Linked DNA regions of Rattus norvegicus. The protein of the gene in region 3 binds, or shares a complex with, the protein of the main gene of each other region. Links are inferred from orthologs where the notes say so. Each region holds a gene or a part of one and is shown on either strand. Other genes may lie near its edges. The genes, in order: Dpf3, Dpf1, Arid1a and Smarcd1.

Evidence for each region.
Region 1: Arid1a (region 3) and Dpf3 share a complex: the UniProt entries of both Homo sapiens proteins name them as parts of the neuron-specific chromatin remodeling complex. The link is inferred for Rattus norvegicus from reciprocal best matches to the Homo sapiens genes ARID1A and DPF3.
Region 2: Arid1a (region 3) and Dpf1 share a complex: the UniProt entries of both Homo sapiens proteins name them as parts of the neuron-specific chromatin remodeling complex. The link is inferred for Rattus norvegicus from reciprocal best matches to the Homo sapiens genes ARID1A and DPF1.
Region 4: Arid1a (region 3) and Smarcd1 share a complex: the UniProt entries of both Homo sapiens proteins name them as parts of the neuron-specific chromatin remodeling complex. The link is inferred for Rattus norvegicus from reciprocal best matches to the Homo sapiens genes ARID1A and SMARCD1.

The regions. Positions count from the first base shown.
Region 1 is NC_086024.1:108,852,074-108,859,916, forward strand, and holds the start of Dpf3 (zinc finger protein DPF3), read right to left. Parts: upstream 4,553-7,843; 5' UTR 4,531-4,552; coding exon 4,499-4,530; intron 1-4,498. UniProt on the Homo sapiens protein: Belongs to the neuron-specific chromatin remodeling complex (nBAF complex).
Region 2 is NC_086019.1:93,739,182-93,746,273, reverse strand, and holds the end of Dpf1 (zinc finger protein neuro-d4), read right to left. Parts: intron 6,222-7,092; coding exon 6,171-6,221; intron 6,078-6,170; coding exon 5,958-6,077; intron 4,886-5,957; coding exon 4,773-4,885; intron 4,291-4,772; coding exon of another isoform or gene 4,261-4,290; coding exon 4,179-4,260; intron 4,030-4,178; coding exon 3,959-4,029; 3' UTR 2,849-3,958; downstream 1-2,848. UniProt on the Homo sapiens protein: May have an important role in developing neurons by participating in regulation of cell survival, possibly as a neurospecific transcription factor. Belongs to the neuron-specific chromatin remodeling complex (nBAF complex).
Region 3 is NC_086023.1:151,197,092-151,204,183, forward strand, and holds part of Arid1a (AT-rich interactive domain-containing protein 1A), read right to left. Parts: intron 5,607-7,092; coding exon 5,399-5,606; intron 4,076-5,398; coding exon 3,943-4,075; intron 3,777-3,942; coding exon of another isoform or gene 3,774-3,776; coding exon 3,601-3,773; intron 2,957-3,600; coding exon 2,806-2,956; intron 2,731-2,805; coding exon 2,563-2,730; intron 2,486-2,562; coding exon 2,386-2,485; intron 1,926-2,385; coding exon 1,034-1,925; intron 735-1,033; coding exon 604-734; intron 1-603. UniProt on the Homo sapiens protein: Involved in transcriptional activation and repression of select genes by chromatin remodeling (alteration of DNA-nucleosome topology).
Region 4 is NC_086025.1:132,713,789-132,720,880, forward strand, and holds the end of Smarcd1 (SWI/SNF-related matrix-associated actin-dependent regulator of chromatin subfamily D member 1), read left to right. Parts: intron 1-912; coding exon 913-1,048; intron 1,049-2,505; coding exon 2,506-2,628; intron 2,629-3,605; coding exon 3,606-3,707; intron 3,708-3,810; coding exon 3,811-3,864; 3' UTR 3,865-5,379; downstream 5,380-7,092. UniProt on the Homo sapiens protein: Involved in transcriptional activation and repression of select genes by chromatin remodeling (alteration of DNA-nucleosome topology).

The DNA.
Region 1 (7,843 bases), on a different chromosome or scaffold from region 3:
AGAGAAATGGTAGTGGTCAAGCATCTGTTGGCTTCAAGGGTCCTTTTCCATCAAGGACTAGAATGGTGTCCATAAAAGGCCGAAAATTCACAAAGCCCCCTACCCCACTGTTCTCTGCTTCATCCCTACTCACCACCCCTTCCCCAATCAAAATAGCCAAGACAAGATTAGGACCAGGAATGTGGCCCCCTGACCCTTCCTCTCTGATAATTAAACTGGCTCTCTCAGCAAGAGTAAGGTCTGGTTTCTAACCTTCATGTGCCCCACACACACATCCACATCAAAGAATGGACAGAGAGATAAAGACCTGACCACATCATCTGTACACACGAGCCATGTTGAATACTGATCAAGTAAACATTTCCTCCTCTTAGAGTTACGTCCTTAATAATAAAGCAAAGTACCTCCAAGCTGGAGTAACTCTTTACAAAGTGAAGCTTCAAGGCAACTGTGTACAAGGAATCATCGTTATAAGCATGACTAAATAGTTTAGCTTTCTGGTTGTCTATAATCAAACAATTAAAGCATTACAGCCCTAACTAGAATAATGAAGTGACGATAGCATTTATTCCGTCTCTGAGCCCGGAGTTATAAAAACAGATACATATGTACATTATCAAGTCTGGCAGAAGGTGGCAGGCATTCCCAGTTAAGTGCTACCAGCAGAGTTTTGATAAGTTACTGTGAGATTGTGCTGCTTAAAGTGTTGTTGGCAGACACGGGGGAAGGTGAGCACCCTGCGCTAGTATAGTGAGATCTTACAATAAAAACATAAGTAAGAGTGTCTGCTCTACGCCTGAACAGAGTTCAATCCCCGGACCACACATGGTGGAAGAAACCACTCCAAAGGTTGTCCTCTAACCACAAACACACATACACACATACACACACACACACACACACACACACACACGCTCGAGCTTCCACACACATACACTTGTTCCAGCACCACACCCACTCAAGACACACACACATAAAATAGTATCTTTGTTTTAATAGGGTCTCTCTATGCAGCTCTGGCTGCCCAGAACTCACTATGTAGGCTAGGCTGGACACCAACTCCGCCTCCCCAGTGCTGGGACTAAAAGCATGTGCTCACCTAAAATAAATAATTTTTTAATTAAGCATTTTATTTCCCAAGTATACAGAAATCGACAACATGTAACTTACACCCATGCCTTTATCAAATCTATCCCTGTTCACTTCCTGGGTATACAGGAGTTGAGGAGGTCTCTGATGAGCTGCACTCAGAGGACAGGGTGTAGCTGCTAATTTAAATAGCAGGCAACTCACATTTACACATCATATGTGTCTGTCAGTGTCTCTGAATTCCATTTGTCCAGATGTGACCGCTTAGCTGTGGGGCCACCTGCTGCGTTCCTTTCTGATCTAATCTGACCTGGCAGCTCCTGTTTCTGCGGCTAACACCCTGTTGGGCAGTAACAAGAAGTTAAAGGCTGGAATGGAGAAGCCAGACTGTCAGCTTCAGAGAGGAAGGGGTGAAAGCAACCAGCAAGAAAAAGGAGTTGAGGAGAGATCAAAGACAGCCAGGAAGAAAGGCAAGCTACCAAGAAAGGCTGTTTTCAGGCACTTGGGACCCTACAGAAGACACCCCCAACCCCACGCGAAGCAGAGATTCAAGTTGAGCCATCTAGTCATCCAGCGAGTTGAATTATTGAATGCCCCCACATGGAAAAAAGCTAGCAAGATGAAAAGGGACCCAGAGTCTAAGGCACAGCCCTACACGGGGTGGCATGAAAGAAACCTGAGCTGGCTTCTTCCCAACACCGTTACTACTGCTACTTATCCCCAGGCTCAAGAGGAAATCTTTCTGTGACCAGTTTCTGTAGGGGGCGTCCGTGATGTTGCCTTTTTAAGACGAGAGAGAGCGCTTGCACACGGAGAAAATGCTAATGTGGCTTGGAGCTCCCTCATTGTCAGGAGGGGCACACAAGGATAAACACGTAAGCTCTCCAAACCATTCCCCTCACTCTTCCTCCTCCTCCCTGCGCCCCCATCCATCCCTTCGGCTGGATGCGTTGCTCTGCTTTGTTCTAATTTAGCCCATGCATAATTTATTCACGTGTGTTTTGTTTCCTGGTCAGCAACTTCTAAAAACAAATGAAATGTATAGGATGTTTTATTAAACAAGTTGTTTTTAAAATAATAATAATAATGATAAAAGCAGATGGCCTCGGTCTCCCAGTAACGATGTGTGTGTGCTCCTGCGTGCGGAGTTTTGAAAATGTCCAGGGTGCAAAAAGCTTGGCTGATTGGGGTTATTGTTTACACCCTTAGTCCTCAGGGGAAGAGGATGGGATACAAAAGGGGATGGCTAATTATAAGTGACCACTGGACTTCCTCTGAGGAAAGGGCAGGCAGGGGTGTTGTGGGTGAGCGCCCCTGTGCGTGAGCCAAGACGGAGTTACAAATGCATCCCACGGCAAGTGTTTCCAATTATTAAGGGATACAAGGATAATTCAGAACTAATTCTATCAACCGAGATTGACCACCTTCTAGCTTCTCTGTTCCTTCTCCCCACAATTTCCAATACACGCACGCTTCTGTGTCAAAAAAAAAAAGTGAAAAGATCTGGGGAACCCTGGAGCGTGGAGCTCCTGCGCGCGCCCGAGCGTAAGCCCGCTCCCGGGCACCAAGGATGCCGCTTTCCCAATGAGGAACCCCGTACACATAGCAAATAGATCTCTCAGACCTGAGTTTACCAAGCAGCATCAGCTCTGCTACGTGATTTCGACTGGAAATGAGGAAATTGCAAATCAGCTGTGTGGGTTTTGGAGAAACTCACGGCACCAGCGGTGTGGTGGCGGGAGTCGGCGAGGACGCGGCGAAGTTACGCCCATTTATTCTGCCATAAAACATTTTTTTCCCCTCTCAGGTTAAACGCTGTCGCGAGTGCAAAGTAGCTGAGCTTCCGAGCGGGAACCGGAGCCAGGAACTCGCATCAAGCTCAGCCCCTGTCTTTACCGCAGTATCTCGTGGAAACTCCGAGATCTGGGACATCCCTGCCCTATTCCTGGTTGTTGGCTGGTGCAAACGCAGCGGGTTCTCCCTACGCGTTTCTTGGCACTAGGAATCACACACACACACACACACACACACACACACACACACACACACACACACACTCGCCGCCGCCCTGCTGCTCCCCAAAGCGAACGGTGTTTTCGACTCCCGGAGCCAGGGCTTAGGACGCTGTAGCGCGCAGTTAAAAGCCAAGATCGACCACTGACACAGACCGGGAAGAATTGGTACTAAACACCCACGCGCACCCTCCGATTCCCAGAGGCTTTCATCAGGGCGTGAAGTCCTAGTACACTCGGCACCCACCCGGTGCCCACGCCGCGCCGCGATTCCCAAGGATCCACCCTCTGCCAACATCCCTGCCAATAGCGCCCCTTGAGAGCCACACTAGTTTTCCCAGGCCACCCCCAGCTCCACGATCACCCGCAGACTTGGCGGCTTCATATTCAGTCCACCGACTGGAAGGAAGGAAGGAAGGAAGGAAGGAAGGAAGGAAGGAAGGAAGGAAGGAAGGAAGGAAGGAAGACGGGCAGGCAGGCAGCTCCGATCGGAACCGGCCCCCGCGAGTCCTTGCGCAGCCCGCCCCCCTCTGTCCGCTCAAAGTCTCCGGGAGGCACCTGCCCCTCGCTGTCGCCAGAGCCCTACACCGCCGCCTCCGCCGCCTCAGCTTTTCACCCAGAGCAGGCGAGCACACCATTAATAAGACCTGCAGTTTCCCCGTCTCCATATCAACCTCAAGTTAACCCAGATCGTTAATTTACTAGAGCCAGTTAGCCTACAAATACACAGACACACCGGCGACCGCCCGGAGCGCCCGCCTGATCCCCGGCTGCCGGAGTGGAAAAGCCCGGGGCAAGCACCTGGGCCCCAGGACTCCCGGGACCCGCCGCTCCGCGCGCCGTCCTCCCAACTCCGGAAGGTTTACACAAACTCCCTGGGAGAGCTCGGAAGGCAGAGCGAACGCCCTGCAAAACTCCGCAGCCGCTGCGGTCGGTCTGCCCGCCCCGGTGGACAAGCAGCGGGGCCGGGGAAGCTCCGGCTTGGAGCGCAGGGCATAGCAGAGCGCAGGACGCGGCCCCTGCCCCGCGCTCCGGCCGGACTCAGCCAGCCCCGCGCGGCGCCGGGAGAGGCAGGGGACTCCGGGGACCGTGAAGACCCGAGCTGCACACGACCCCCGCAGCTCCGGAGCCGGCGCCGGCGCTCTGTGCTCCCTCCCGGTCCGGGTCAGCCAATTAAGCAGAACACAAATTTAACAATTTTCTTTTTGTTAATTGCATCTCCTGACATTTCTGCGCGCTGGGAGGAAAAAAGATGAAGAAGTAAGAGCAGGAAGAAAAGAGGAGCCCGGGCGCAGCGGGAGGCGTCTGCGAGAGCCGAGCGCCGGCTGCGCTCCGCAAGGCGCCTTTTTTTCATATTGAAACCACGCGGAATATGTACATTTTTTAGTCTTACTTACGCTTTCAGGGGGTTGTGAATGACAGTCGCCATTTTGCTACAATGTAACAGAATATTGTCTGTCTCAGAGTTCTAAAGGTTCGCTCAGGGGAAGCGGCAGGCCAATCAGAGCACGGGATACCGGTCTGCCGGCCAATCGGCGCGGCTGGTCGCCAAGTGGGCGGAGCCTGCGTGGTGGTAGTTATTAGGGGAGCTGTCAAAGCCCAGAGGTCACTCCCTTTTGTAGAGCCCGAGAGCGAGCAGGTCTTAAAGGGGCAGTACCGTGTTAGTAGCGCCCTTTCAAATAGGGACTAGTGGAGATACATGGGAGAGCAATCTCGCTTAGTTTGAGTCCCTACTTTACTAAATAACCGCAGAGTTTGCGCTCCTGGACAAGAATATTTACATAATGCCAACAAAAATGCTGAATCCCATTCATTAGCTTTGGGCTTTGTATATCACGGTTTTAACCCCCGAGTCTCGGGTACACCACTGTGTTACAAGTGCAAAAAGTTGGAAGGCTGCAGTTTCCTCCAAGAAATTACTACTGTGCTCCACTCTTTGCTAAAAATGCTCTGGGTTCTGCCGCTGTTCAATTTTCTTGTTCCCGAAGTGTTTTCTTTATCTCACCCACCTTCCTCGGTCGGTTTCTGAGAACGGGAGAGTCCAGGGCAGCAACTCCCTTCCCCCTGGAATGTCTCAGCCATGGTTTTTTGTTACGTAATTCACAGGTGGTCACTCTGCACGGTCCCCTACGACCACCGTTCTCCACTGTCGACGATTTCGAAGATCTGACACGACCAGCTTGGGAACGAAGTGAGACCTGGCACCTTTTAGGCAGAAGGCTGGGGAAGATTTGAGGCAACTTTAGGAAACGCAGCTAGGGAAGCCAGTAACTAGGCAGAAATTGTTAGAGCCTGACAATTGTAGGTGTTGCTAGAGTCCCCTCCGGGAATGGCTCTGCGAATCCAGGCGTCACCTTTCTGGACTAAGATAGGAGGTGAAAAGAATCTGCAAGTGAATGTTCAGACGTGACTGGAGGCTTCCCCAGTCTTCGGCTGCTTAGAGTCTGGTGAACCCCTGAAGAAACTAAGACTTCTGCGAACTCAGGCTTCCACGGAGCACAGGGAGACTCAGACTGGGCGAAAACGCACGAAATCACATAGAGTCCAGAGACTCTATCGTTAGCATATAGAAGTCTGGCTATCCCCTGGCTGTTTAATCAGGTCAAATAGCAGAGAGCTGGAGAGTGAAAAGGAAACCGAGAGATGCTGAATTGCAGTTCACAATTCCACCTGCTCTCGCCTTTTACGACTCTCCATGAATAAAGTAAAATACAATCACAAAGCAGTTCGGAACTTTCAGATTCCAACTCCATTCACTATTAGAGTTACAGATAAGCCCAGCAAAGCTGAGTGAGTCCGTGTGTGCAGACTGGAAATATTTAACTCTTTGTTTGCCTAGTAGGGTGATGTTCTCCCCCACCCTCTCTTCTCATTACAGAGTCTCACGATTAGGAAGCTGTTTTTGATGCACTGTAAAGAGAACCAGGTGTGATAGTGCTCCCTTAAAGTTCAAAACCAGCCTGGACTACATATGGAAACCCAGTCTCACACACACCCCCAAATATGGAAACCCAATCTTATCACCCCTCCCCCAAAATAGTATTGCCTTGGTTTTTCGACTTCATGGAAAGTCATTTTAACTGTCAGTACAATTCTGACTTGGTAGTCACTTTTATCACTTCTGAGAAATAAAGAGATATTGTTATTAACTTTGGGGTTTGTATCATAGATTAAAAGGACACAGATTTGGGCCGAAATCTTCAAAAGCAAGGGATTTAGAGTAAACATGCTTGAAGGAGACAGAAACCTTGACCAGAATTAAAGTCTGGGCTTCACCAGTGCTGTGCAATAGTAATATAGACTCTGAAATCCATCTGTCTGCCACCATTTGCCAGCTGGTGACATAAAGAACATAGGAATCCCGAGAAGATGACAACAGACAGCAGAAATAATTCTCTATTTCTAAACTCATTGATTAGAGCAAATGAACAATGTTGATAGCAATGTTTCCCCAATTTAACTCCATAAACCTAAAACCCTTCTTATTGGTTGTGATATCAAAACACTTTTTAAAAAAAAATCACACTTCAGGGTCTGGAGAGATGGTTTGGTGCTTAAGAGCACACATTGCTGCTCATGTGGACCTAGGGCAACCCCCAGCACGGGCATGGTGACCCACAGCCTTCTAACAGGAGTTCCAGGGGGGATCTGATGCCCTCTCCTGGACGAAGTACGCACAAGACATGCACATGGTGCACAGATAGACTTGTAAGCAAAACGCTCCTACACATAAAATTAAATTCATCACAAGTCAGGGGGCTAACTCAGGACCTCAGAGCCTGCCAAATACATATCTGTCTTAGGGGTTAGTCCCTGACAGCCCAAGGGGAAAAGGAAAAGAATAGCGATAAAGAGGAGGGGGAAGAGGGAGAAGGAGGGAGGAGGAGAGGGAGGAGGGAGGAGGGATGGAGGGGAGGGAGGGGAACAAAATCCCATTTCTAAAGCTCTGTTGGCTCGCCTGTGAGTACAAACCCCATCTTGCCTGCCTTGATCTAGGTGGCTGGGCAAGCTATTTGGAATGCAGAAGGGAGCCAGAATGATCACTTCTCCCCCTCCCCTAGGTAGCAGTGAGCTTTGCTGTCAAACCAGAGCTTCCTGAGCCCAGGTGACTACTGAGCATTTGATAAGTGGTAATTCTGAGATGTGTCAAATATACACACGACTTCATAGGCTTAGCGCCAAAATAGGAATGCAAATTAGCTATGAGTGGATTCTCTTAGGGAAGGCCACACCTACCCTTGCTCTCAAACCCCTCCTCCCTCTTTCTGAATGTCTCTCTTCCTCCTAATCCTCATGCCTATATTAACATATCATTTTTTTTGAAAGATAGAGTTTCATGTTGTAGCCCTGGGTGCCTCATGAATGCTGGAATTAAAGGCATGCCCAACCTTACACTAACCGATTGGTATTAAACTTCCCTCCAAATAACCGAATTATTTTATATTGATCACGTGTAGAAATTATGTTTGGGGTTTCCTAGATTAAATAAAATGTTTGTAAAACTATCCTCACAATTTCTTTTTACCTTTTAAAAAATGTGATTAGTAGGAAATTTCAAGTCACACATGCAGCCCAGGTTATATTTTATTGGATAGCTTTATACACCAGAAAGAGAGGTAGGGTCTATTCTCAACTACCTTCATTTCCCTTGTCATAGTTTTCTCCAACTTCTCCATTGATGTCAGTGGGGCAAACCTCTTAGACACAGCTGAAGAACACACCAAGCGACCAAGAACCTAGGT
Region 2 (7,092 bases), on a different chromosome or scaffold from region 3:
GTCTTTTTTTCCCCCTCTTCCCATCCCTGTCTTGAGATTTCTGGCATGTTTCAGGAGGTTTCAAAGGAAATAAACGTTTCATAGAAATGGCTGGTGTGCTCTCTGGCAGCTGCCCGAAAGTCAGTGCTGGCTCCCTCCTCATAGGCTCATATCACACCCCTGCTGCACAGCACACAGCCCTGCAGCTTTTCCTAGGCATCCAGACAAGAAACCCGACCCTCAGGATGTAGAATGTGCTGAAGTTAGAAAAGAAGCTAGGTCTGCATTGTGGGCATGGTTACACAAACCTTTAATCCCAGCGCTCAGGAGACAAGGTGGGTGGATCTCTGTGCACTCTAGGCCAGCTTGTTGGAAATAAGTAGTTAGGGCTGCACCGAGACCCTGTCATCAAAGGGGGAGGGGACGGTCTACTTTTGCCAGGTGTGATGGTTCACACTTGTGATCCCAGCTCTCTGAGGCAGGAGGATCCCAGAGAGTTCAAGGCCAGTTGTATTGGTACACATCTGGAATCTCAGCCTTGGAGGTGAAGGGGCATCAGGAGTTCAAGACCTTCCTCAGCTACATAGCAAGTTTGAGGCCACCCTGTGCTTGACCCCAAGTGGTATCAAAGCCCTTAAAAAAGTGGCTGAGTGGTTAAGAGCACCCGCTGCTCTTCCGGAGGACCCCCCAGGTCAATGCGCACAGCTGTCTGACTCCACATCCATGGGACCCAATGCCCTCTTCTGGTATGTTAAAAAAAAAAAAAAAAAAAACAGGCAAAGTAAGGTAATAATGCACCTCTAATCCCGGCAGAGGGAGGTGGATCTCTTTGAGTTTGAGGCCATCCTGGTCTACATAGTGAGTTTCAGGGCAGCCAGGGCTACACAGAGTAAGTCTATCTGGAAACAAAAAACACGGGAGATTGCCGGGAAAGCAAGTACTGGCATGTTTGTGGGACTTGTGTGAAGCCTCTGGCTCGAAGGCCTCCGCTGGGCCCCAAGCCACACCCCTCCCCATCCCAGCTACATTTCTGTGCCCTGCCCCACCTACTCATCTCTCCACTGGGTCCCACTGTGCGGAGGACCTCTCTGTGCCAATAGAGCAGGGAGTGGATTGCAGCGGAGAGCTGCCCCGGGGTCCCTGGGGACCAGAGATAAAGGAAGATTGCCATCTAGGTAAAGGAAGTATATCAGACAAACTCCTGAAGCCTCAGCCAAAACCAGGTTTTCTATGGCCCTCCTGGCAGGACCGGTGGGGGCGGCTTGAAACTTGGGGCCCTGGATCTGTGTCCTGCCGAAACTGTGGACATCCGCGGGTGGGCGGGGCATGAGGCAAACTGACTATTTAGACTCAGGAATTCCACGGGAAGATCCTAAAGACCCGCCTCCTGTGGGAAGTCGGCCTCTCTGGACAGGACTGCCCCCTCCCCATCAGCTGTCTTTACGTTCTTCAAGTCTGAGCTGAACTGTGGTACTCCTCCGCACCCTACCCTCACCACCCCACCAAATGTCTTCCGAAAGGTGTTTGCCTAGTTCCAGGGGAGAATCAGCCCTCGCAAGGGTTTCCAGCTACTCAGACATCCTCACTCTCCACCCTCCTCAGGGCCCCATCCAGCCCAGCCCTCCCCCCACCAACCTGGGCCAAGTGGGGGAGGGAACCCGGGAACAAACTGTTCTCACATCCTCTCCTGGCCTGGGAGACATACCACCATCTCCCAACACCCCACAATTCACACGCGCACCCGCACCCGCACGCCAAACCCTGATGGCGCCTGCACTGCACCCTGTAGTCCCTTTCCCTTCTTGCCCCAGTTTTTCCTGCCCCTTCCCCCACTTCTCCTCAGCCTGCCACACTATCTCTTTGGCCTCATCTGCCTGGCACTCTCTAGATTTCTGTTGTCTGCACCCCCACACCCCTTTTTAAAGAGACGTCTCATAGCCCAGGAATGACATGTAACTCACCGTCCTCCTGCCTCAGCCTCCAGTGCTAGGATTCTGAGCCACATGGTGTGTTACCATCCTGGATGGCGGTCCTTACATTCTTTATTGCCTTCCAACAAAACCCACTTCCCTCAGCCCCGTGTCTTTTGTCTGGGGGCTTTGCCTGTCCCCTTACCACATTTTGTCCCTCTGACTTTGTAAATTTTCAGCTTGTCTCTCCAAATAGCTGTCCACTTCTCCCTCCCCTGGTCTTGCCAGAGCCTGGCTTTTTTTTTTTTTTTTTTTTTCCTTCTTTTAGACTATTATGTCCTGGACTAGTCTTCCACCCCGTCCCAGTCCTCTTCCCTCGGAGTTCCTGGGACTCTCACATTTGCCCATCTCCCCACAAATGAGCTTTGTCCTCTTTTTTTCATTCAGTAAATTTGTGGCCTCAGAATCCTCTTCCTTTCTGACCATTGCCCTGGTACTCCATTCCCACCCCCACCCCACCCTGCCTGTTTCCTTAAATCCCTGTGTTTTGAGACGTCCTCCTGTCCTCCACTTTTAGCCACACCCAGGACAGGGAATCCCAAGTGACAGCCAACCCGGCTGAGGTGCAATCTCCGAACCCTAGCCTGGGAGGGGGCTGCCTTCTGGTCTCTCCAGCCCTCCCTTCCCCCCAAGTCTTCACTCCCACCTCCCTCTTTGAGCTGCCTCCCGCTGCAGCTGCAGCAGCCCGTTGCTATGGCAACCACAGCTGGCTGGGTGGGAGCCCCTCCACCCCATCCCCCTCTTCTCTCCAGCAAGACAGGGAGGAGCTGGGACAAAGCCAGAGGGAGGCATGGTGTAGGGGCAAAGAGGTGGGGGCCAGCCACAGTGGCTTCTACCCCAGTGAGGCCCCTTGACTTCCCATGTTGGTGACACCCCAAGAGAGGTTAGAGATGGAAGCAGTTGTGGGCAGAGGGGTCCGGCCCAGTTTAATACACAGAACAAGTTAATTCACAGCAGAGGCAGGCAATAAAGGAGACTTGGTGGCAAGGGGGGTACTCCTGGGTTGGGGGGCAGACTCCCCCAGACCCTCCACCTCCCCCCACTTGCAGTCTCAATTTCCCTTTTTTAAAACCCGAACAACAAACACACACAACCACGAGAAACGACCACACCTCCTTGCCACCCCCAAAATGGCTAGCGATGGGGGGAAGGAGGCAGCCCAGCCTGGCTGGGTAGGGAAGGAAAGGGTTGAGAAGGGAGAAAGAAAGAAAAAAAAACAAAAACAAAAACAAAAAACAAAAAACAACTGAGTCCATTGCAATCTGTGCTTCTTCTCATTGCAGCGGGCTGGCTGCCTGCCTGCCTGCCTCACCCCACCGGCCTCCCCCAGCTGCAAGCCCCAGGTCTGGCAGGCACCGGGTGGGCGCAGGGCGGGGCTCTCAAAGGAGGGGCAGGAAGAGTTCAAAACCATGGTTCACATCATGCAGTATCCACGGTGGGTACCGGGAGGGGGCAGTGTGTGGGCACCATGCCCACCTGGCCTGGCTGTGAGGAAGGTGTGGTACCCACCTCAGATGGGAGTTGAGACAATTGCAACTCCAGAAATGGGGTGGGGAGGGGCCATTCAGGAAACTGGTAAAGTCAGGTCCCAGCAGACACTCAGTGGCCCCCCACCCAGCCAGGCTTAGAGGAATCTTTGTATATATTAATTTCTTTTTTTTTTTCCTTTTTTTTTTTTCACGTTTTGTCTTTTTCTTTAGAAAAAGGCTTTTTCCGTGCCACTGGCTGGCATCCACTACCCCTCTATGCCCGCCCAGAGGCGGGGTATGGCTTTGAGGGGAGCAGAAGCCTGGTGCCCACTTGTCAAGGAATGAAGATGGGGGACAGGAGGGACCCTGCTGGACCCACCCTCCCTCAGGGTAACATTCCACTTGCAGAGGGAGACCGCCTTGGCCCCTCTCTGGGCTTCACCCTATCCCTTCCACTGGGGACACCAGGCGGGAAAAGTCAGGAGCTCCAAGAGGCCGAGGATAGCACCACCCAAAGGTCCTGGAGAAGCAGAGCCAGGTCTAAGTCAGGGTGATGTAAGCGGAGGCCTTTTCTTTCAAGTGCCGGAGACAGAGGTGGCAACTCCAGCTCCCTGCGGGGGAAGCCAGTGAGACAAAATTAGACTCAAGCCGATGAAGAGCGCCCCCCCCACCTGTCCCCACCCAGAGCACATGGTCTCTGCCACCAAGAAGACAATGTTCCAACCCACCCACCCCGTGTCTCACCCATCTCTTCCCTCACCTTCCGGGGGCTCCGCCATGGGAGGGCTCAGGCAGTACATGTGGTAACCCCGATCGCAGTCGTCACAGAACAGCAGCTGGTCCTGGGGGGTGAGACCCGCCCAGCTGGCACCCTGGGGGCACGGGCACCAGAAACCGGGGTGGGGGGCTGGGGCAGGGGCTGGGTCCCAGGGGCCCTTATGAGAAAACTAACTGGCCTTGTCGCGGCTCACACAGTGTGGTCTGGATTCTGTAGCTACAGAACGCTGAACGATGTTCAACTAGCCAGAGACCAACTTGGGACCAATATATAGGTTCGAATGCTGGCCCTACGACCTTCTGAGCTTGGCGACCTCAGGCGTCATTCTCCCTCTCTGAGCTCAGTATCGTCTCTGTGTAGTGGGAACCAGAGCACCAGCCTCAAGGGAGGCTGGGAGGCATCAAGGGGAAGAATATGACAAAGGAACACTAGGGACGATGGTGACCGTAATGCATGCTAATGCTGGTCACCCAGGGGTTATGAACAAGGAAGGCTTTAGGCTTCACGAGCAAAGGTGGCAGAGCCAGGCCGGAAGGGAAGCTGGGGATGTGCCCGGGAGGTGGGGCGGGCACTCACGTCATTCTCCGAGGTGCCACACAGGCTGCAGGACTTGCATTCGATACACTGCCAGCGGTAGGTCCGCACGGCTGCGGTCATGTTCACCGTGAACTGTAAACACGAGGGATGTCCTGGGGGTTGAGGGGCAGGGAGGCCGTTAGCGGAGTCGTTGTACCTCTGGTGGCTACTGACACGTGGGGAGGTAATGGCTCTATCCTCAGCCCCGACCCAGAGGTCAAGGTGAGCTCTGCAGTGGGACCCTAACCCTGAGACCAACATCCGGAAGCTCGACTGTCGGGCAAGCAGCCGTGTGTTGGCCACCACAGTCTCCTACTCAGCCACCATGACAACCACACTCTGCTCCCCAGAACACCATGGCAACCACATTCCATTACCCACAGTGCTGTGGCAACCACGTTCTACCACCCACAACACCGCGGCCACCACAGTCTGTTAAGTATTGCGCTAGGCAGCCACATTCCAATACCCACAGCAGAGCGTCCAGCCCTCCTGTTAACCACAGCAACGTGGCAGCCGACCTCTGCCAACCAGGATGCTATGGCAACTGAGTTCCACAACAGGGTCCCCACACCTTGCTTCTCTGAAAACCAAAGGCCATCCCGCACCAGGCACCAGCAAACGAACTTCCTCTGACAACACTCGCGGTGTGAATCGGCTCAGCCATTCTCCCACGGCGCGAAGGCACCTGTAGCCACTGCCCACAGCACCCAACGGTTACAACTACATCTCTCAGAGCCAGACGCCAGTAGCCACAGCACTCTGCCCACAGCACATCACAGCCACAGTCCATCATCCACGCTGCTCAAGTGACCAGCCTTACTACCCAGGAGGCCTCCATGGAAAACCACACTGTATTAACCACAGTTCTACAGCACACAATCCTGCTATTCACAGCACCCAGGTGGTGCAATTGCTCCCACACCTCCGTCCCCTACCCACAATGCCTCCCTAGCTTCTCTCTACTCTCCTTGCCGGGAAAGCACAAAGCCAGGGCACCTTGTACTGTTGGTTCCCACTGTGCCAGCAAGCCTGCTCAGTCTGTCACAAACCCCTGCAGCAGAGGCAGCCCCTAGGACAGGCTAGGGACAGCCCCTTACTCGCCTGCCTCCCACTCCCTAAATTCAGATTCTGAGATGTCCTCCTCCCGCCTCCGATCTTCCAGAAATACGTAGTGAGTTTCACCTGATCGCCCGCAGTCCGCACAGGAGATGAGGTCCTCAGGACATCCAGTCTTCTTGGAGCCCCCCAGGCAAAAGTCACAGTAGCCATTGGGGATGACAGTGCCATCTGGTGCTTTCTTGGCTGAAAGACAGCAGGCAGCGGTGGGCACAGGACAGGTGAGGCGTGCCAGTCAAAGACTACTGCAGAAGTCGGGGAGGAGGGAGGTGCCCCTACCTGTGTGTTTCCTCTGTGCCTCGGGGACCCAGGCCAATTCTTTGTAAAACTCTGGGGGTAGGGGGACAGAAAGGGGCTCTTACCATAGGCAAGGTCCCATCTGTCCCCAGCCTCAGCCCCAGGGGCGGACCCTTGGCCCAGGCACTGGGAAGTAGCAAGAAAGCTGGGGGAGGGACAAGGAATGCTCACCAGAACCCTAACTCTTAGGATTCTATTTGGGTATGTTTTCTCTATTTGGGTAAAAGTGTGAGGATAGACATAACCTTAGCAAGAACCCATGGCTGCTGCCACCATCGTGTGTTTGCACCCCCCAGGTAAGCTTGCCTAGGCCAACGCTTAGCCCGCAGTTCTGCAACGCCTAATCAGGAGGACATTGTTATAGCACAGAAGGTTCTGGGTCAGGCCTGTGGATTTGTAGAAGCTGTCTTTGAGGGACAGGTGAGCTAGGCCCCCTCCCCCCATGGTTCAGTTGTCATGGCATGGAACAGCCATGAGTGGGTATCAAGGACCCTGGGGACCTTGCCCCTGGACCCTAGCATAGCAGAGGAGACAAGGGAGGTCTAGGAAGAGAGGGGATCATCTACCACCCCACTCCAGGTTCTAATTGAAACAATAAATCAGACCCAGAAATAAACCCGGGAAGGGAGTGAGTGAAAGAGTGAGAGAGACAGAGAGAGAGAGAGAGAGAGAGAGAGAGAGAGAGAGACAGAGAGAGAGAGAGAGAGAGAGAGAGAGAGAGAGAGGGGGTTGGTTGTCATGGCAACCCTAGAGCCAGCATCCCTATGATTGGTGGGGGAGGGAACCGTGAAGATTTTTTCCAGAAATGTCTAACTGTGCCTCCACCTCCCCAGACACTACCAGTCTCCACCGCCCCCGCCCCACCCCTCGCACCTCACCCACCAGCCTTGACCCTCCAACTCAC
Region 3 (7,092 bases):
GTGGATCTTGGAGTTTTAGGCCAGTCTGATCTATAGAGTAAGTTCCACTATAGCCAAGGCTCCAGATAGATAGATAGATAGATAGATAGATAGATAGATAGATAGATAGATAGATAGATAGATAGATAGACAGACAGACAGACAGACAGACAGACAGACAGACGGATGGATGATACCTTGTCTCATAAAACAAAAGCAAAACTCCCAGCTGAGCATGGAGCGAATGCTAAGACAAGAGCGCTTTAAGTTTTGTGGCTACCTCCATACTGTTAACTTAGTAAGACCCTGTTTCAAAACAAGATTCCCTAAAGAAAAATGAAATCCTTTCTCCCAAATAAATTTCCTTTGGACAGGATAGCCAGAGGTAAGAAGAGAAACCCTGTCTTGAATGCGACCGGGCTCCTTCTGAAAGTCGTCTTACAACTCGTGTAAACTAGCGCTGCGTCTAACGCCTTATCCCCGAGAGGGGCAAGGGACACACACTGTGAGCATGATAGACTTCCAGCAAAGTGACGAGGGCTGACGAGGGCTTCATTCCTGCTGTGACCTAGTGTCATCTACACCAACAGTACCTTCCCCACCTCGACAGAAACCTGTCCTTACCTGGCTGAGGTTGAAGGTCATGATGCTGTTGTCATCATACAGTAGGATGTTAATGGTGTCTAACGCCCACGTGCTCTCTGCCAGGAGCCCGGACTTGAGGGACATCATTACCCGCCATGCCTCCGGGGTTCCTGAAATAAACCTCTGTGTTGTCCATCCACCAAGCCCCAGCTGGCTAGAGGTACCCCCAAGGCTGTCCTGAGTCAGGCTAGTCTGACTTCATTGTTCTAAGCGGTCTAGGACACCAGCATATGGCAGAGCCTTCAAGACAAACCTCAATCAGCTCACATCTTCCATCCTCCACACTCTTTGGCTTTCCTTTAGCAAATACTGTACCAGATTTAACCACATCCCGGACATTGGGATGGAGGAACCACGTGAGAGATGGAAAGGGGTAGATTGAGCCACCCAGTCAGGGAGGTCTCCTTACCAATGTCTTTCATCGTGAGCCGCCTTCTCTGCTTCAGCACAGGCTGTGTGGCCTCCACAGAGCCAGGGGGAAAGGTGATATCCCGCCGGATCATAGGCGGCTGCACAGGGGTAGGCGCTATGTGCGAAGCAGGCACTGGTGGACCTGCCTTTTGCATTTTCATCCCAGAGTGCAGGAATGGAGACTTGCTAGGAGAAGTACGGTTCTCCATGGGCCGGGGCAGGGGAGCGGGACTGGATACCTGAGGAATGTGATTCTGCATGCTTGGTGGGGGCTGGTAGTTAGATGGAGGGGGTCTTGTCATGGGGGGAACAGGGGCTGAAGGACCATAGGGAGGCTGGCGCGTGCCATGGGAAGGCCACGGGCCTTCATGGTTGGCCCTCTGGTCTGTGTGGAGCATCTCATCTGTTCGGTTCACACCATGATAAGCAGGGCCCTGGGGGGCAGAGCCTGTGTTCTGCCTGTTGGCATAATTGTAGGTCATGTCATTTCGCCCCTGCCACATGGTGCCTTGCTGAGCAACCTCAGCGGATGCCTGTATGGGGCCGCCCATCATCTGTGGTGGCATGTTCTGCTGGGCATTGGAACCAGGAGGTGCAGAGACTCGGTCTCGGCCAAACTGGAATGGAAATTGGTTCTGGGGGCCGCCTGCTGGTCGGCGCTCAGTAGCAGCGGTGGCAGTAGCAGGGTAGGCATTGCTGTACTGGTTGTAGACATCCTGCTGAGGGGAAGGCTGGGCAGCTTGTGGCTGGCTGGCAGACTGGGACTGAGCTGCAGGCAGCTGCTGCTGTTGAGGCTGCCCCTGCCCAGTGCTGTACGGCACACTGTACAGCTCCCCTTCATGCCGCTTGGCAGGAGGGCCATACGTGCCATCCATTGGCCTCTTATAGTTCTAAGGCAGAGAAAGCAGAAAAGAAATTAATATTATGTAACGAGTCACATAAAGTCCAAAGAGTCATGGATAGCTTCCACTTAATAGATATTAACTCATTTTTCTTTTTGCCCCATGAAAGACAGGACAAATGTCAAGAAAGCAAACACTTTTGTAAATTACTTTTTGAAGCTGTTTCTGAGAGCAACCACTATTTTCTAGAGTTCTCCTTTCAAATAGAAAAATATGTAAAACATCAAAAAATCAAAACAAACTCTGTTTCTAGTCCTTTCTTTAGAAGAGAGACTTAATAAACAAGGAAGACAAGTGACTCTCTCAGTAGAAGTGCCTAGTTGGCTAAGAGGAATACCAATGTCGTAGCCAAAATGCATATTACGGATGCTATGGATTACACTGGGTGGCTTACAGACGGCTTTCAGGGGCAATGGGTGTGGGTATATCCCCAAACTCGCTTCCTTACCTGCTGCTGCTGCTGCTGATACATTGTGGTCTGCTGGCTGGGGAAGGGACTGCTGGAAGGGGTGCCTTGGGTGGAGAACTGATTGCCATAGGAATCGTGTCTGCAGAAGAAGGAGTGGGTCATGGTGGAGAATCACAAACCTGAGCAGCACAGGCAGAGGAAGCAGGAGTCACTCACCGCTGCTGCTGCTGCTGCTGCTGCTGCTGCTGCTGCTGCTGCTGCTGCTGCTGCTGCGGGGGGTAGCGGCTAGGAGAATACATCCCCGAGTCTGGGGTGGAAGGCATGAGATTTGGCTGAGGGGCTCCAGTGCCCATATTTCCTTCAGGGCCAATTCCAGGCTCCGTCCTAAACAAGATTGGAGAAGAGAATTGAGCAAAGTATAGCTTCAGGGTATCCAGGGTGGGATGGGCAGGGGCTTACCTCACTCTGTCGTAAGGACCTCCATAGGGATAGTGCTGTCGTGGTCCCATAGCCACATTACCCAGCCCAGGGCCAGCAGCACGGCTGTAGGGGTCACCCATCCCGCCGTTGGGACCCTGCCCTGAGGACATGAAGGGATCACTTCCTGGAGCTGAGTACAAAAAGGAAGGCAGTGAATGAGGAAACCAGCAGGTTGGCAGGCTCATCAATGTACACATTCCTGCGACACGGTTCCAGGCTCTCTACAGAACATGGTGTCTTCCTGTTTCTTTCCTGACAGGTTAAATAGAGAATGCCAAGTCTTAAGAGTGGCTAGGTAAGGGCTGGAGAGATGGCTCAGCGGTTAAGAGCACTGACTGCTCTTCCAGAGGTCCTGAGTTCAAATCCCAGCAACCACATGGTGGCTCACAACCATCTGTAAGGGATCTGATGCTCTTTTCTGGTGTGTCTGAAGACAGCTACAGTCTATTTATATATAATAAATAAATCTTTAAAAAAAAAAAAAGAGTGGCTAGGTAAAGCAAGTTGAAAGAGAAAAGGAGGAGGAAAAAATATATAAGAGTTTGGTGGCTAAGTGTGTGGGGCTCAGTGGGATGAAACTTGCCTAAGGTAAATGACTCCCTTGCTTCAGCCTCTAGCATCATCCCAGAAAGGAAAGAGGACAAGGCCGGCAGGGGGAAGGGAAGAGTATGGTGAAGGGTGACACACAGAAGCATTTCAGAGGCTCTCTCAGCACTACCACCAAGCCACTCAAACTCCACAGGCATAAGCCAGCACCACCCAGCAGTCAGTCACCTTTCCTCATGCCGCCATAAGGATCCTTATTTGGCTCATAGGACATGCGCCCCATCATGTCAGAGGTATTCATACTGGGCTGGTACCCAGGGTTTGGAGTCATGGAATTCCGCTTCTGGAATGTGGGCTCACTTCCATCAGGAAAGGCATCCTGGATTCCAACTGAGTTGCTCCTGCTCCAGAGTGAGGAAAACTAATGAAGCCCCCCATACACCAATTCCTCAGATAAGTCAAGAACCATAGAAGCCACGGGTGGGGGAGTGAATAGGCATGAACTGCCCTCCTCAGGTTACCCCAGGTTACCCCCAGACACACCCAAGAGTTCCTGATCATGAGCCTTACCTCATGCCTGGTAAGGGGGGAATTTGACTATGTGGTGTGGATGCTGGAGTTGGTGGCTTCAGGTCTCCTCCTTCTGCCATAGAACTGCTGGTTGACTGAGGCGTTTGTGGCCCCTGCATAGACCCTGATCCTGCTGTGGACAGAGAGGCAGGGTGAGCAGCTAACTATAAAATTACGGATGCTTTAGAGTCTGGGTGTATGCACATATGCATTTGTATGCGTCTGTTTCTCTCTTCTGAGACAGGGTCTCATACTGTGGAGCCCAGGCTGCTTGGAACTAAGGATCCTTTCTTTCAGCTTCCAGAGTGCTGGGACTGACACTGTGTTTGCCTTCCCAGGATCCCTCTGTGAGAGACTTTCAGAGTCAGTGATGTAAAGGGATTGGATCTTATCACTTATGGAAGCATGTCCTGATCAAACACAAAACACTGGCATACAACAGTTCACATACAAGAGCTGCACACCTGAGCTCCAAGAAACATCCCCCCACTTTGATGTTTAAGGGTTGGCTGCAGTCTTGCTTTGGAGAAAGGAGGCGGATGTTATTTTGCACCAGGTCATTTAAGCCTTGGGTAGCTTCCTGATTACCTAGCTTTCTTTCTCCAAAGAACCTGTGTAACCTATTAAACATCCCCCGATGCTGAGCAGTGAATGACTAATTAGAGCCCCCAAAGTACAGGGTGTAGAGCGGAGTCACATGGCCAGAGCCTAGTGTTTCTATCAGGCACCCAGCAAAATGTCACCCTTAGGTTCTTTCTAATATTCCTCTAAAGAGCACAGAACTCCCAGTGATGAGCATTTCCACTAGGTACCGTTCGTTTCTAGCATTAGACAGCACACTTCTGAGGCCTTCCCAAGCTGATGAGTCATCTCAGGCACACATCACACCCTCAGAGGTCAAAGACAGGGCACATATGTTTACACCTACCTTCTAGGGCCCTGGCCTCTTTCCCATGCTAGCCTAGGCCCAGCCTCCTCTGAGAACAGAGGGTAAAGCAGCACTCCTGTCATCAGAGAAGTCCCATTCATATTCCCTCTCTACCCTCTAACCATTCATTACCATCCCAGCTCTCCCGGGAGTTTACAGCTCTCTTCTGAGCTGCATTCTAAGGCACTGACATCAGCAGGCCGAAGCTCCCAGATGGCCCAGCCACACTGCTATTTGTCAGTTTTCCCTCACTCCTCTGGTGTCCCTCCCACTCACTAGTTTACAAACATTTGGCAAAATGCCAGGCGTACAACAGGAAAATGAGAAAGTTAAAACTTAAGGCTGCTGCACGGCACCTCCCAAGGGAGTCGCCACTACCGCTCTTTAGTCTGCCAACCTGCCAAGCCACGTGGATGGGTAAAAACACACACCCCTGGCATCTGCTCTGCTCCCTGGAGGAAGGGAGGGAGGCACCACTACCTAGGGAAGTGTGCCCTCAACCTCAGTGGGGTGCTCAGCCATTCTTACCAGGAGAGGGAGGCTGGATCTTGGGTTGGGACTTCTTGGAATCAGCAGCTGCAAAGATATCAGGGGGAGGGTCTTCTCCCCGCTCAATCTTGCACTCAAAGGCATAGAGACACTGGATATACTGCTTTTTCAAGGAGCTGGCGGCACTGCTCGATGTGCCCACATTGAGGTTGGTTGCAAGTTCCCGCCATTTTTTGTTTTTGTTGACCTGAAAGACCACCAGAAGAGTCATAGTACACTTGACCCAGGCTTCCAGCTTGGCAAGAAGCTTCCAGTTTGAAGTAACTGCAAGCAGCGCTGCTTCTTAAGACAGGACAAGCAGAAGGCTGACGTTGGAACAGAACTCAGTGCCTAGTCTGGATGCTCTAACCCTCACCCTCTAACTTCTTAAAGCTAATGATTTCTACATGATTCTTCACCACCAGTGTGAGGCTGTCAACCTAAGGACAGCCAGTCCACTGTTCTGCCTCCTTGTTTCAGTCCCAGGACATACTGACCAAGACTATTTCCCAAATATTCTTCTAATTAGTACTGTGGCAGACAGACAGGTCTGGATCCATAGTGTATTCTTCAGCACAGGGCCAGCTTATGCCTCTAGTGCAGAGAACACTGGTACAAGCAAACATTTTGGACTATGACACCTTTGAAGTGATAGTTGCAATCTTCAGAGCTTAGAGAAGCTCTAGATAACCTCCACGGAAAGGAGGTGACCACAACACTTTGCAAGGTGGCACTGGGTGGGGAGAGTATCGCTTTGGTTGTTTGTAAAGTTAGCAACAGTCGTGTTTAACTGCACATTATCTCCTACCCTGTAACATCGGACCCGTCTACTGGGATGATCTTTCACTGACCTGTCAGACAAGCTCAGGACTCAGTCTTGCCTTTCTCAGGGCCTTCACTTAGAAAGGAATTCTTACTGTCTTTGGAATATAACTACTTAACAGCAAGTAAGATTTCCTTTTTGAACTGGAGGACAAGCTTTGTTCTGTATCTCATCCTATGCTCAGTGAGTTCAGAGCCCCACCAATCAGAAGGCAAGTTATAAGCAACCAATCCCCCTTTCCCACAAGTAGGAAACAAGGACCAAATGGCAGTGGAAAGCAGATATGCACGCAGGGTCACCTCAGCCGCCCTATGTGGCTCTGCTTCCCACGCCAGTTACATGGCAGCCTGCACGTGCCCTATTCTGTTTTGTTTTCCTTTGTGGGGGAGGGGAAGGAAGCCTGAAGGGAGAAGGGATTCAGAAATGATTAGTAGTTGGCTTCGTTCCAATCACTTTCTTTTCTGCTGGTGACAGCTGTTTTCCTTTTCTGATTTAGAAGGTTTGGAATAAGTTTCTTGCTGTCAGGCTCTCCCACCCTCACTAAGAGTTTCTGGTCTGTACAATAATGAAAAGATCACAGAGGAAAGCCTACAAGGCAGAGTGAGCCTCACTTGTCAGCCTCTCTGGCTAAACAGAAACGGACCGTGAAGTATGGCAGTGGCATTTCCAGTAAGGACTGAACTCTTCTCTGAAGTCACAGTATAAAGGAAGGCTTCCATCATTTAACTTCTTCCTCTGCAACTAACTCTATAAGCAATTTCCCTGGAAGACAGAGTCTGGTTCCCATAGTCTGGACTCTTGCAGAAGCTTTACGTGGATCATTTCTAACATCTGACATGACATCACGTGTTTTAAGTGTCTCAGAACATGA
Region 4 (7,092 bases), on a different chromosome or scaffold from region 3:
GACATCAGCCAGCACTGTCACAGCAGGGCTCCACTTCCCGCGGGAGATGCAGATTGTCACTGTGGTGGGAGTCAGCAGTCATCTTTTTATGAAAGGAGGGGCTTCCAGTCAGACTCCCACTCTTGCTTTGTTTTCTCATAATTTGGAAGATAAAGAGCCCTGCGCCTGTCAGACGCCTGCTCTTTGCCCTCTTTGTTCCAGTTACTCCGGAAAGACTGAGTTTCCCTAGTCCCTGAGCCCCTCACCTGTAGTCCCTCTATAGCTTGTACATCGCGTCCACAGAAACTGGAGTCCTGTTCTTTTTGTTGCTGTTTTTTTTTTTCCGACAAGAGTCTGTGTAATCCTGGCTGTCCTGAAACTCACTCTGTGGACCAGGCTCCCCTCAAACTCATAGAGGTCCACCTGCGTCTGCCTCCTGTGTGCTGGGATTAAAGTCCATTGCACGGACTCCTGTCTTTAAAAGTTTTCACAAAATGCCTTTGGTGCTATTTGAACTTTATGACTTTCTTAAAACCAAGCTCAGCCCAACAAGATGGTTCAGCTGGTTAAAGGCACTAGCTGCCTAGCCTGACAACCTGACATCAGCCCTGGGAAACACACACACACACACACACACACACACACAGAGAATGAATATATGGGAATGTACTGAAAACCAAATTTATTGAGTTACAAGTTGTTACTCATAGAGGCAGGCTGGACCGTAGGTTAAATCTGTTTGAAGTAAGGCAGTAAGGCATCTGGAGATACAACTCCATACAGCTCTCCGAAGGAAGACGTTGAGCATCTCTGCTGTGCACTTTGACCTTTTGCAGTCGCTTCCTTTTCCTCTCATCCCTGGACCATCTTCTGACGTTGGTACGTAGGTCTCAGAAAAAGCCATTTACTGAACTCTGCTACTTTCCTCCCCAGTGTTGACCCAAATGACCAGAAAAAGACAGCGTGCTACGACATTGATGTGGAAGTGGATGACACTTTGAAGACCCAGATGAACTCTTTCCTGCTGTCCACTGCCAGCCAGCAGGAGATCGCTACTCTAGACAACAAGGTCGGGGTCTCTGTCCCACCGTCCATCATAGCTCCCAGCTGCCTTTTGCTTTTCGTTTTTAACTAAAAAATATGTTGATACCCAGAACTTGTCAGGCTGTCGGTAACGTTTAGTGATAAGTGGAGGCAGGTTACATACATGCATTTAGATTCTGCCTATTACATTTTGTTTTTGTTTTTAGCATTTTGAGTGCATCTGTCCCTTGTAGAGTAGGCTGGCCTCAAATGCATGATGATTCTTCTACGTCATGTTCAACAGTGCTGGGGTTATAGACACGAGCCATGGCGGCTGCGTGTGAAATGAGACCACGTTATTAAGGACCTGAGCCTGTGCCTCCCGCCATAAGGTATCAGTGGGAGCTCTCCCTGCTGCCGCCATTGGTACTGTAGGCACTGTACGCAAAACCAAAGGGCTTTGTAGCCACCAGAGATAATGTGTGTGGACTTTCCTAGAGAGTAGACGCCTCAACTAAAATTTGAAGGGTGAAATAGAAGTTAACAGATGGCAAAGAAACACAGTGGTGTTTGGGGTATGGGAGGCAGAAGACAAGAGAGATAGAACAAGGTGTGCAAGAATTCAAAGGGAGAATGAGCCTGGGGTATCCATGAAAGAAGCAGAGGAAGGCATGTTCTTCACTCCTGCAATCCCAGCACTTGGGAGCAGCAGCAGGAGGAGGTACACCCCAAGTTCAGGGTCAGTCTTGTATACATAACAAGTTCCTGGCAGCTACAATTACAGATAACCGCAAAATCAGCACAAGAAGTACAAGATGTCAGGGTATGATTTTGGGGAGAGGAAGCTACTGGGGCAGTAGGAGCCTGGCTGTAACGCTTTGATCTGGGAAAAGCACATGTATCCCTCCTGCAGGTGAGGTAAAAGAGCCGGGACAAAACCTTCGTCATGGAGGTACTAATGCTGTTTGCATTAGCGGGGAGGTGGGGAGAGTTGAAGAGGGGCAGACCTGCAGCAGATCCATTTGGAGACTGGGCTGATGGTTTGTGGGAGATGTGTCCAGGCTCCAAACTAAAGGTGCAGACAGGATGGAGTTCAAAGGAATGTGGCTCCTGTTGGGTGGGGCTGAGAGGAGGCCGGCCTTGGAGGGAGAGTTGTCTGGGAGGAGGAGGAGGAGGAGGAGGAAGAAGAGAAGGAGGAGAAGGAGAAGGAGAGTTAGGGGAAGGGTAACCACTTTAGTTGAGACTTCAGCCGACCGTGTCTTGCGAAGCTAAGAGAGCACGAGGGTTTGCTGGAGCATGGTGGTGGCCAAACGTTCGGTTTGTACTGGTTCCTGTTGAAGACACCGAAATTGCAGCTTCCCTTACCTGCATAGGAGCCAGCACGTTGCTTTCTGAAGGGAGCCAGACGGCCACCGTGCGAGTGCTTGCACCCGTGGACTCTGGGCACCTTGACAATGTCAGCCTGGGTCTGCCTTTACCTTGGAGCTTCCTTCTTTCTTTCAGATCCATGAGACAATAGAAACTATCAACCAGCTGAAGACCCAACGAGAGTTCATGCTGAGCTTTGCCCGAGACCCTCAGGGTTTCATCAATGATTGGCTTCAATCCCAGTGCCGGGACCTCAAGGTAAAGAGCCTGAGAAAGGCCCAGAGGGACTCAGGGAGTGCAACACGTGATCATTTTACTTCTGCGCAGAAAGCTGGTTGAAGAATTGAGGGACCACCTTTTTGTTTTTTCAGTCCATCCCATTTTAGAGTTGATGAGGGAAATGAGGCAGGGCCATCAGGAATGTAGTCAGCACTTCCCCAGTGTTGGCTTTGGACTCCCAGCTGGACTAGAACTGGGGATCTGGGCTCTGATCCCCCACAGATGTGTTCCATTGGGAAAACATAGGCTAGTGTGTCACTAAAGGGTAGTAAACCGTGGCCAGCCGACTGGCGGCAGTAAACCTGTTCAGAGTGAGGGGATGCAGATGAAGCGAGATGGGGTTGAAGATGCTTCCCAGGAAGAAGAAAATCATAGGCCCAGGCAGGAAGATGTGCCTTGGCGGCTTGCCATAGGTGCCCGACTCGTGATTGCTGTGACCAGCACAGCAGAAAGGTCACCTGCTGACAGTGACTTAATGGGTGCTTGGGGTGACTTGGGGGTGTCTTTTTTTTTTTTTTTTTTTTTTTGTCTGCTGGGGCTTTTGAAGAAACCTGACCCAAATTGGGCGGCTTGAGCACTGGGATTGTCTCCCAGTGGTGGAGACTGGAAGTCCAAATGAAAGTAGCCACAGGGTTGGTCCTGTACATCTCCACTAGCTTCTGGTGACCCTGGGTGTCCCTCAGCTCAGGCTTGCTGTCTTCACATTGTGTATGTGTCTGTCTGTCTGTCTGCATTTCCCTCCTTTATAAGGACACCAGTTATACTGGATTAGGGCCAATCCCAATGAACTCTTAACTTGATCATCTGCAAAGACCCTATTCCATGTCAGGTCACATTCACAGGTACCGGGGGATTAGAATTTCAGCATCTTTGGTGGGGGTTGGAGGTGGGCAAGAGGTAAGTTCAGCTGAGAGCAGACTTGAAAGCAGGAACCCTGTTGTCCTCTCCTCCCTCAGACAATGACTGATGTGGTGGGTAATCCGGAAGAGGAGCGCCGAGCTGAGTTCTACTTCCAGCCTTGGGCCCAGGAGGCCGTGTGTCGATACTTCTACTCCAAGGTCGGTGCTGTGCCGGGGCACAGGGGAAGTGGCCCAAGGAGGGGCAGCGGCGTTGGCCGCCAGCCTTTGGTTTCTCGAGCTTGCATTCCTGTTTTCTCTGCAGGTGCAGCAGAGGCGGCAAGAATTAGAGCAAGCCCTGGGAATCCGAAACACATAGGGCCTCCCTGGCCCTAGTGTCTGCACCGAGTTTGTGGGCCCCGTGTTGCCTGCCTCAGTGTCCCTGTCTTGGTCTTGCTTGAGGCATTCTAGGAGATGCTGTTGGCTCCAGGACAGTGTCACAATGAAGAGGGTGTCACATTTCCGTCTCACAGTCACCTGTTATCCCTTCCTGCACCCCGGCCTCCCACCTCAGCTCCTCCCCACCAAGCTCCCACGTGCCTCTACCTCCCTGTCCTACATAGGACCTCTAGATAGTGTAGAGAACCGTAGTGGTAATGAGTGCTCTGAAGCGGTGGGGCCTCCTGAGGTCAGGCGGGCTGCAGGGAGACCCAGGCCTTGGGAGCTGTCGCCCTCTGAGCCTCAGGCCTGGGGCAGTCTGTAAGCTAGCTGACCTTGGCTTCCTGGTAACCCTACTTCTTCCCTTCCTTCCCTCCCTCCACAGGTTGGAGCAGATTCATTCACCTTTCTTCTTGCCCTCTAGCACTAAAGGAGCCCAGGTTCCGGGCTTCACTGAATCCAGGTTGGTCCCTGCCCTCTGGACTTAACCTGCTGTCTGACCCCCAAGTGGGGTCCATGTCAGTATTGGAGTGTGGTTTCAACTCTTGCTCCTCCACACACTCCCGTAGCTGTCAGTATAGGATTTCCCCACACCTGCCCTAACCGCAGTGTTTGGGCTGGGATCTCGCCTTTCCTTGTCATTCCCAGCAGAGACTGTCCTTCCTGCTGTTAGAGGAGTGGCTTCTTCATTCACTCCACCCTGCCCCCTTCCAAAAATGGAGAAACAGGCCTGAAATCAAACGGGTAAAGCCCTAGGCCGTCCCTGTCTTCCTGTCCCATGTCTGCCCAGTTGAAACCCACTGGTGGCTTCCAGGGCACTGAGGAGTAAAAGCGCCTAGGGCTGGAGAATAGGTCTGAAATGGGTTTGTGACTCCCCACCCCTGCCCTCTAAGCTTCAGACCTCAGGTAGCAGCAGGCTGTGTGGTCTTGGCCCCTTGGGACAGATGGCTTTGCGTCTTCCAGGGAAGCCTCAGATTCTTCCAGGTTTTGTCACCTGGAGTGGCATGTCCCAGGCTCGCAGACAACACTGCAGGGTGGGAGACAGCTGGGCACGGGGATTCCGTTGAGCATGGGCTCTGAACCCACAGAACTGACAAAGCCCCTGCTTCCCCACCCCCACCTCAGGCTCCTGCGAGCAGTGTTCCTGCACCCTTCCTTCCTGCCTGTTCTGTACTGGGACAGCAGTGTTTCCCCTGTCCTCCTCATGTCCAATAGCCTCCCTCCTCTTGGAAGGTCCTCCCCACAGTGACACTGGACAACCTTGGGGCAGCTGAGCCCAGCCTGGCTTCTGGCTAGAAGCATGATGGGTGAACTCGGCACTCCCAGTGTCCCTGTTGATAACTGTTTTTATTAACTGAATTGTGTTTTGTTTTGTTTTTTTTCATGGACCAAAATTTTTTTTGTACTGTCTCCTTACTGATGTCACCCAGTTTTAATAAAAGACTTCTGAAGAGCAGGTCCCTGCTGTCTGTGGGGTTGCTGTGGGTCCCCATTGTCTGGGGGGGAATCATTGGGTCCCCACTATCTGGGGGGTGATCACTGAGTCCCCTGCTGTCTGGGAGTCACTACTGTAGTGTCTGCCATCTTCCCTCCCAGTGCCTTCTTCCTTGACAGGTGTTTCTTGAGGATGTTTGCCGGTCGTGCCAGGCTCTGGAGGTCTGGGAAATGAGTCTTTTTCCCCTGGGGACTCTGGGTCTTATTAGAGGCTTGTGACCTCAGCAATGCCCTTGGGTTGGTTGCTCCAACTCCCAGCCATCAAGAACAGACAAGGCAGTGCCGCTACTGGTGTCTCCCTCGTCCTTGAAATCTCCATGTCATGTACTGGCAGGAACAAGCTGTCCTTGGCATCTGTGGCCCCTTGATTTTGATGAAACTGGGCTTTGTTCTCCCAAGAGTACATGTCCATCCAGCCGCTGCCAAGGGCCCAGTGACAGGTTTTCCATACAGACCCACCACATGCACTGATCTCATGCTTTCTGAGGTTCTGTGAATGGCCCCAAGACACCGGGGTTTTCTTTGTGTTGTTTCCCTGTGATAGGGGTCTCTGTAACTAAGGCTAACCTTAAACTCACTGTGCACCTATCTCAGCAGCCCCCACCTGCAAGTGGAGATTACAGATGCGAGTCGTTACAGTGCCCGATGTAAGAAGCCTGTTCTGTTCTTAAAATCCAGTGTGGAGTGGCTGCTTTGGTCCTGTGTGGAGTAGATAGGGCTGCCTACCTGGCTGCTCAGACATTAATCCCCCTTGGAAAAAGCACGAAATGCCTGCGGTCCCGCCTGCTTCCATTGGGTGGCTCACAACTTCCCACTGCACTCTCTCGTCCAGGAAGGTGTGGCGCACTGAACGAGCGACTGTCACACCCTGAAGTCACTGCTAAAAAATCTCACCCATCCGTGCAGTTCATTGATACCGGCCTTTAATCTCAGCACCAGGGAGGCAGAGGCAGAACCTCTGAGTTCCAGGCCAGCCAGGATTACAAAGACCCCGTTTCACACACACAAAAAGAATCTTGCCCATTGAGTAGCTGGATATCTGCTGAGTAGTGTTGTCTGCCAGTGCAGGGCATGCTGGATTGTCTGAGTTGAGAGGGTTAAAAAGAGGCGTTATAACCCGGAACAGAGGAAGCAGGTATCAAGGCACTGAACCGGCATCTGTTTTTACCCAGTCTAATTGCACGTGTGATGAGTGGCTGATGAGTCATTAATTCCAAGCAGACACTGTCCAGCTTGCTCTTAGAGAAGCTTTGGTGGGACAGAAAACTTCCTGTGCCGAGCATCCCTTTATTCCTGTGTGAATAGCCACGTGCTTGGTCTCTCTACACAACCGAATAGGCTGTCGGGGCAAAAAGAGACGGGAGTATTTAGGCAAAAACAAGGCACCCATTTCAGGCATAAATGCCCATTCTTTCATGTTCCTATCATACGTGCCAGGGGCAGGAACATCCTTTCTCTTCCAGCCCTCGTAATCAGTGCTCCCAGCTGGCAGCCTGGCACTGGCGCCTTCATCTCGGTGCCAGTGTGATAAAGGAGTGGTCTGTGGGAGGACAGCTCCACATTAGGCAGAATCTGGTAGAAGAAAAAACAACCACTGATTGATTTCGAGTTTGTCCCCATCACAGACTGCCTGGCCTTTTGACCACGATAGGCTGCTTCTGTGTAATCCCTGATC